Canis lupus familiaris: one gene and its partner. The protein of the gene in region 2 binds, or shares a complex with, the protein of the main gene of each other region. Links are inferred from orthologs where the notes say so. Each region holds a gene or a part of one and is shown on either strand. Other genes may lie near its edges.

Region 1 (4,125 bases), on a different chromosome or scaffold from region 2:
CGCAGGGATCCCCAATTTAAATTTTTTTGTATATTTTTTATTGGAGTTCAATTTGCCAACATATAGCATAACACCCAGTGCTCATCCTGCCAAGTGCCCCCCTCAATGCCCATCACCCAGTCACCCCAACCGCCTGCCCACCTCCCTTCCACCACCCCTTATTCATTTCCCAGAGTTAGGAGTCTCTCATGTTCTGTATTTCTCACTGATTCTTTCTTTCTTTCTTTCTTTCTTTCTTTCTTTCTTTCTTTCTTTCTTTCTTTCTTTCTTTCTTTCTTTCTTTCTTTCTTCCTTCCTTCCTTCCTTCCTTCCTTCCTTTTTCTTTCTTTCTTTCTTTCTTTCTTTCTTTCTTTCTTTCTTTCTTTCTTTCTTTCTTTCTTCTTTTTTAAATATTTATTTATTTATTTATTTATGATAGACATAGAAAGAGAGAGAGAGAGGCAGAGACACAGGAGGATGGAGCAGGCTCCATGCACCGGGAGCCTGATGCGGGACTCGATCCCGGGTCTCCAGGATTGCGCCCTGGGCCAAAGGCAGGTGCTAAAACACTGAGCCACCCAGGGATCCCCCTCTCACTGATACTTTCACTCATTTTCTCTCCTTTCCCTTTATTCCCTTTCACTAATTTTTATATTCCCCAAATGAATGAGACCATATAATGTTTGTCCTTCTCCGATTGACTTGCTTCACTCAGCATAATACCCTCCAGTTCCATCCACGTCGAAGCAAATGGTGGGTATTCATCCTTTCTCATGGCTGAGTAATATTCCACTGTATACATAGACCACATCTTCTTTATCCACTCATCTTTCGATGGACCCCTAGGCTCCTCCCACAGTTTGGCTACTGTGGACATTGCTGCTAGAAACACCGGGGTGCAGGTGACCTGCCGTTTCCCTGCATCTGCATCTTTGGGGTAAATCCCCAGCAGTGCAATGGCTGGGTCGCACACTCGGGGTTTTTTTAAATCGGTTCCCCCTTGATACAACACTTAGGGCTTCCCATCTTTTGCGACGACCAAAAATGTAGGAAGAGGTCTTCGCTGCATGGCGAGTGGCTCGCGCGTTGAAGACTTTCCGCGGAGAGCCGACTGTCCATAAACGGTTGCAGCAAGAGCGAGCTGACCCCTGTTAGGAGCCAGCCAGCAGCGCAGGTGGGGAGCCCTGGGGCCGCTCCCAGGGCCGCTCCCCGGTACGCGGCGCTTCGCGGAGGCTCCAGCAGGTGGCGCTGCAGGCGGCAGCCGCGCCCGGCCGCCCGGGCCACGTCGCTCTTGCCGTGGGCGCCGCCGGTGGCGCGGGGACGAGCGTGGGGGGCAGGGCGAGTCATATGACCCGCTCGGCTTCCTGGCTCCGGCCGCCGCCGCCCGCCCGTGTCCGCCAGTGGTGCGCCGCGGCCCCGAGGAGCCGTTGAGGGGTCGGGGCTGAGGCCCGCTCGAGTGGAAGCCGTCGCTGCCGCCGCCGCCGCCGCCGCCGCCGCCCGCCCGCCCGGCCGCCCGCGCGTTCTCCCTCCCGGCCGCCATCATGCTGGCGCTCATCTCCCGCCTGCTGGACTGGTTTCGCTCGCTCTTCTGGAAGGAGGAGATGGAGCTGACGCTGGTGGGGCTGCAGTACTCGGGCAAGACCACCTTCGTCAATGTCATCGCGGTGAGTGCCGCCGTCCGCGAGTCCGGCCCGGCGCCGGCCCGAAGGCCCGGGCCGGGGCTGCCGTCAGCGCGACGGGGCTAATGGGAGTGGGACGAGGGGAGGAGGTCAGCCGTTCCTGCCCCCTCCGCGGGCTGGGGCCGGGGGCCGGGGGCCGGGGTTCCCGCGTGCTGTGGTGCGCCGCGCCCGGCCGCCGCCTTCTGCAAAGGGCCGGCCGGGTCCTCCTCGCGGGCGGGGGCTTGGAAGGGGCACACGTTGGCCTCGTCGCGCCTGTAGGGATGGGGGTCTGCGCATCGGGTTTGCTCCGGGGCGGGGGTGGGGGGACACCTGAAGGCTTCGCTCCAGCCTGCACTTCCCCGAAGGGTGGGATTTGGCGAGCTGTCAGCCCCGTGAGAAAGCGTGAGGCTCGGAGCGTCTCTCAAGTGGCCGCTCGGGACGGGGAGCGCCGTGGTGCGGGGAGCAGCAGGCCGGCGCGGGGCGCCTTCCCGAGCACCGCGGACGGGATGTCTCCCTGTAACGCAGTTTACTGGTTTTCAGTGGTCCCCCTGGGGGCGGAGAGCAAGTTCAGCGCTGCCTGGGCTCGCCGGTAGGGACTGGGGAGGGGCGCTTCCAGCCCGTCCAGTGCTCGGTGGTCCGCAGCATTTATTAAGCCAAGCAGTTAAGGGGGGGGGGGGGGGCTTCTGCTTCTCCAGGGAAAGGGTGTCTAGGAGGGAGCTTGCCCTGGGAACCTGTATTGCACGCAGTGTGGTGCTTATTTAGTCAGCCTCGGTTGAGTGGAAGGATGATGATTGAATTTTGCTTGGGTGGTTAGTTGCGGGGAAGGAATAAGAGAGAAAGATGCTCTTCCATCTCAGTTTAGAGGCCCGGAGTTGATGTGACTCACTTGTAGCTGATAGGTGCTCGTACTTGTCAGGCATGAGCTTTGGAACTGTTTTAAAGAGAGAGGGCAGCAGTTCTTCCATCTTTTAGAGATGGTGGTTGAAATCCTTATTTCATAGACCAGTGGCCCAACTGGTTTGGTTACAGGAATGATTCAAACACAGCTCCCTTGTGGGAGAAAATATGTAACGTGTGACTCTTAGTCCTGCAGTAGTGGAGCAGCAGGAGTGAGTAAGACTTGAAGAAAAAGACGAGCAGAGATCCAGACTTCCTTTGAGGAACGTTGCATATAAGTATAAAAGAAAATTTGCCTACTTGTTTGGCTCCTCTTTGGCTCCTCTAGTGATGTGGTGGTGGTGGTGATGTTTTGGGTTTTGTTTTGGCTTGGGATGACTAACTTTTCAACATATATAGTAGAGTGGAAAGTATATGATAGCACCAAAATTAGTTTGAAATCCCTGTGGAGGGATCCCTGGGTGGCGCAGCGGTTTGGCGCCTGCCTTTGGCCCGGGGCGCGATCCTGGAGACCCGGGATCGAATCCCACGTCGGGCTCCCGGTGCATGGAGCCTGCTTCTCCCTCTGCCTGTGTCTCTGCCTCTCTCCCTCTCTGTGTGACTATCATAAATAAATAAAAATTAAAGAAAAATCCCTGTAGATTAAATATTCATACTAGAGCTTTTATAGGATATGGGAAAGACTTAGTTAACTGTAAATTTTCTGGTGTTCTCTTGAGAGATAAGAATTGGAATCTCCTTGTAAACCTGATTTTTTTTTTTTTACAAGACTGAATTAATATATAGTGTAGATGTAGGTGTATTACTACAATTAATTGTTGTATTTGTTGCAGAGTAGTTATTCTTGGGAAACTTGAAAAAGTTTAGTAAGTCTTTGAAGAACTTCTAAAGGCCTGAGCATGAAAATTATGCTTATTATGTTCTTTTTTTTTTTTTTTTTTTTAAGATTTTATTTGTTTACCCATGAGAGGCAGGAGAGAGAGGCAGAGACACAGGCAGAGGGAGAAGCAGGCTCCATGCACCGGGAGCCTGATGCAGGACTCGATCCCAGGCCCCAGGGATCACCGGCAGAGGCTCAACCACTGAACCACCCAGGCGCCCCTTATTATGTTTTTCATAGATGGTGTAGTTTATTATAATGAGCAAGAACTTTGAAGTCAAGGAACTCTGGGTTTGCAATCTGGCTCTTCCACTCAGCAGCCTTGTATCTTCTTTCAGTCCTCCTTGATTTCTCATCTATTAAATAGAGATAATAATATGTTTCTTAAAGAGTTGTTCTGGGAAGTAAATGAAATGACACATAGTAAGTGACTAGCACCAAGCCTGCCCATAGAAGGGGCTGGGTAAGTGGTAGCTGTTGTTATTTGTAGCCAATACATTGCTTCTTTAATGCAGAAACAGTGTTTTGAAAAATATTCAGAAGGGAATTAGCTGGGTTCATTTCCTTCTTTGAATCTGATTTATCCAAATGTGTGCTCCAAGAGTGGATTTATGGACTGTGGCAAATAATCATATCATGTACTCTCCCCCCCCCCCCCGCCCCAATTTAAAAAATATATTAGATTATTTTAACAGCAGAGCTTCTGGAACA
Region 2 (3,510 bases):
TGCTGTGCGTGTCGTACCCTCCGAGGCTTGCTGGCCCGAGGGGGGGGTCAGGGGTCCCGCTCTGTGGGTCAGTTCAAGGCCTGAGCAGCTTAAGTGGCTCCGACCTGGGGTCGCCTTGCCAGACCCATTCCAGCCACCCTGCAACCAAAGAAGTGTGAGCCCAGAAGACTTCGAGTGCACTTCTGGTTGAGCCATCCCCGGTGATAACCTGCTGGGAAGTGAGGTCAGCTCAGGGTCCCTTGGCCACATCCCAAGGGGAGGGCCAAGTGGAGGTGCCATCGTTCTGACCGACCAGGGCCTGTGTTTGCTCCCGAGAGCACAGCTGGCACAGCTGCGTCCTCAGCTAGAACTCGTGGGACGTGCTCAGGGGTTCCTCGGGTCCCCGCCTCCAGCAACGGGGGCGTACCTCAGGGCCTGAGCTGCTCCGGCCCCCTGGCCTGGGGCCTCCCACCCAGGACCTCTGAAGCCCTGGCTATGCCCTCAGAGGTCACATGCCCAGATCCCCCCTTTCGACCCAGCCCACCTAATTGCCCGGTACTGCGGCGCTCAGGTGGTAAGCCTGCCCCATCACTCCTGTCCAGGGTCACGAAGAAGAAGAAGACCGGCAAGAAGAAGAAGGCGAGGTCGGATGAGGAGGCTAGCCCCCTCCACCCCTCCTCCACCCAGGACGGCTGTGCCCGCCGCGGGGGGGATGGTGACAGCCTTGTCAGCAGCCCAGGCCTGGGGCGGGCGTCCCCGGACGCCACCTTTACGCCCCCCCAGGAGGAGGGAGAGGGGCCCAGCAGCACAGCCGAGAGCAGCGAGCTCTCGGAGCCCGGCCCGGTGGGCCTGCTTATCCCCGAGATGAAGGACACGTCCATGGAGCGCTTGGGGCAGCCCCTGAGCAAGGTGATCGACCAGCTCAACGGGCAGCTGGACCCCAGCACCTGGCGCTCCCACGCCCAGTCCCCAGACCAGTCCTTTCGGGCCGGCTCTCCCGGGGACGCCCCGGAGAAGCCACCATGTTGCGACTTTAGTGAGGGGCTTCCAGCCCCCATGGACTTCTACCGCTTTACCGTCGAGAGTCCAAGCACTCTTACATCAGGTGGCAGCAACCATGACCCTGCAGGGCCTGGCCAACCGCTGCATGTTCCTGGTAGCCCTGAGACTGCTGGCCAAGAAGAGGGAGGAGGAGGAAGAGAGGGACAGACGCCTGGGCCCCTAGAGCGCGCCCCGAGGGAGGCCGGGGGGCCAGAGCCCCGGGAACTGGACCCTGAGTCGCCCCTGGTCCGGGAGGGGCCTGTGCCTGAACCGGAGCCGGGGGCCCGCGAGGCTCTTTGCCAGCTCAAGCGAGACCGGCCCAGCCCGTGCGTGAGCAGCGCTGAGGACTCTGGGGTGGATGAGGGGCAGGGGAGCCCGTCGGACACGACCCACTCGGCAGAGTTCAGGTGAGGGGGCCCCCCGGGCGGCCGGCCTGACACTCGCCCCCGGCGCCCCGCGGCCCGCGACGGTGGGCATCTGCCCTCCAGATACCCTGAGCGCAGCCGTGGACGCCCCGGCCTGGGCCGGGAGGCGGGGTGGGCTGGGAGTGTCCCCGCCACCGCCACTGCGGCTGCGGTCAGGGGCAGAGCCGCCCGCCCCTGGCCTAGCCTGACACCCTCCCCACGCGTGTCCCTCTCTCAGAGTGGACAACAATCACTTACTCCTGCTGATGATCCACGTGTTCCGAGAAAACGAAGAGCAGCTCTTCAAAGTGAGTCCCGGGAGCTCACGGACGGCCGAGGCGGGAGGCGTGCTGGCCGGGCCGGGGCGGCGGGGGCCGGGGCGCCTGACCCCGCTCCGTGTCGGCCCCGCAGATGATCCGGATGAGTACCGGGCACATGGAGGGCAACCTGCAGCTGCTCTACGTGCTGCTCACAGACTGCTACGTCTACCTGCTTCGGAAAGGTGCCTGCCGCCCCGGGCCCGGCCAGAGGCAGAGGATGAGACTGACTCCCTCCCTTTCTCTGCGCCCCCCACCCTGGCTCTCGGCCGCCTGGTGGTGACCGAAACACCCCAGCGGGTGCCACCGGCCGTCCCGGCAGCCCCGTGGGAGCCGGGGCCTGCCTGCCACGAGCCCCGCGCCCTCCGCCTCCTCCACCGTGTCAGATCGCAGGGCAGGGACGGGTCCTCTCTCAGAGAGGCCAGGTCTTAGACATGGGGCAGGGGGAGGGAAAAGAGGCCACTGCGAGTTATAGGCATCGGGGTCTCCTCTCTCAGGGGCCGCGGAGAAGCCATACCTGGTGGAAGAGGCTGTTTCTTACAATGAACTTGACTATGTGTCGGTGAGTGCAGGCTCTGCAGTTGCCATATGCTGTAGGACAGGGCCCCTCGGGCGCCCACCCGGCCACCCACCGTAGCTGCAGAGGAGGCGTGTCCTGCCTTGGCCCCAGCGCCCCCGGGGTCAGGGCGTCAGCTTATCTCTCGAGCAGCTTCTACAGGTGATGCGGGGGATAAGAACCGAGTCTGAGATGCCTCTTCATCCACCATATTTCTGACCATCCCTCCCCAGCTCTCGGGGGCTCTCCCTGCGGCCACTCCAGGGCGTGCTTCCTCCCTCCCCAGCAGCCCTCACCTGGCCGGGCTGCCTCTTCCGCAGCAGCCGAGCCCCGTGCGCATGTGAAGCTGTTGTTTCCGGCAGGTGGGCCTCGACCAGCAGACGGTGAAGCTGGTGTGCACCAACCGCAGGAAGCAGTTTCTGCTGGACACGGCCGACGTGGCCCTGGCCGAGTGAGTGACATGCCCCTGCCCCCCCTACCTCCCCTGGCCTGGAGCCCCCGCCCCTAGGGATGGAGGGTGCAAGGTAGGAAACAGAGAAGTGGAGATCAGGTGTGTTCCCTCTGGCACCTGCTGGAAGCGTGCAAGCACACTGACGGACTCACGTCATCAGCTCAGGTGACCTCAGACCCTGTGTGGCCTCCAGAGAGGACTGGCCTGAGGGCTGACGTGAGTTATCAGCAAGAACACGAGTCCGGCTGCTGGGCCACGGGGGCCATGGGTGCCCCCCCCCCCCCCGATGCCTTCATACAAAAATTACTGGTAATGAGATCGTGTCGTTGTACTGACTTGGGTCCCACCCACTCCGGTTCCGCTGCACCACCGGGGTTGGTCCTCCCTCGCCGGCAGCGCCCGGGCCCCTGGCCACTGGGAATGGCCTTTTCCAGGTCATCGTTTGAGGCCAGTGATCGCTGGGCATCACTGCCCCAGCTGCTGCCCTGAGCTCTGGCTCCAGCCAGCAACCTCCCTGAAGTTTCTGTGCCCCCAGGCCAGAATCCTGTCCAGTTGAGAGGCAGGCCTCCCCGCTGCCACCCCCCCGGGGCCTCTGACAGCAAACCCCACTCCCTGTGTAGGTTCTTCTTGGCTTCTTTGAAGTCCGCAATGATCAAAGGCTGCCGGGAACCACCTTACCCCAGCATCCTGACTGATGCCACCATGGAGAAGCTGGCACTGGCCAAATTTGTGGCCCAGGAGTCCAAGTGTGAGGTAAGTGCC

Evidence for each region.
Region 1: the proteins of PLEKHM2 (region 2) and ARL8B are in contact, whole or in part, in a crystal structure (PDB 8JCA), measured with the Homo sapiens proteins. The link is inferred for Canis lupus familiaris from reciprocal best matches to the Homo sapiens genes PLEKHM2 and ARL8B. Residues at the interface, in NP_055979.2 of Homo sapiens: His70, Phe71, Thr72, Arg73, Arg74, Glu75, Glu103, Ser105, Glu107, Ser108, Tyr109, Arg111, Leu112, Glu115, Glu147, Phe148; in NP_060654.1 of Homo sapiens: Glu22, Thr52, Val53, Gly54, Phe55, Asn56, Met57, Lys68, Trp70, Arg77, Phe78, Arg84, Tyr85, Arg87, Gly88, Val89.

The regions. Positions count from the first base shown.
Region 1 is NC_049241.1:12,598,818-12,602,942, reverse strand, and holds the start of ARL8B (ADP-ribosylation factor-like protein 8B), read left to right. Parts: upstream 1-1,322; 5' UTR 1,323-1,520; coding exon 1,521-1,643; intron 1,644-4,125. UniProt on the Homo sapiens protein: Small GTPase which cycles between active GTP-bound and inactive GDP-bound states.
Region 2 is NC_049223.1:81,354,722-81,358,231, reverse strand, and holds part of PLEKHM2 (pleckstrin homology domain-containing family M member 2), read left to right. Parts: intron 1-581; coding exon 582-1,427; intron 1,428-1,662; coding exon 1,663-1,732; intron 1,733-1,835; coding exon 1,836-1,926; intron 1,927-2,238; coding exon 2,239-2,303; intron 2,304-2,659; coding exon 2,660-2,748; intron 2,749-3,368; coding exon 3,369-3,501; intron 3,502-3,510. UniProt on the Homo sapiens protein: Plays a role in lysosomes movement and localization at the cell periphery acting as an effector of ARL8B.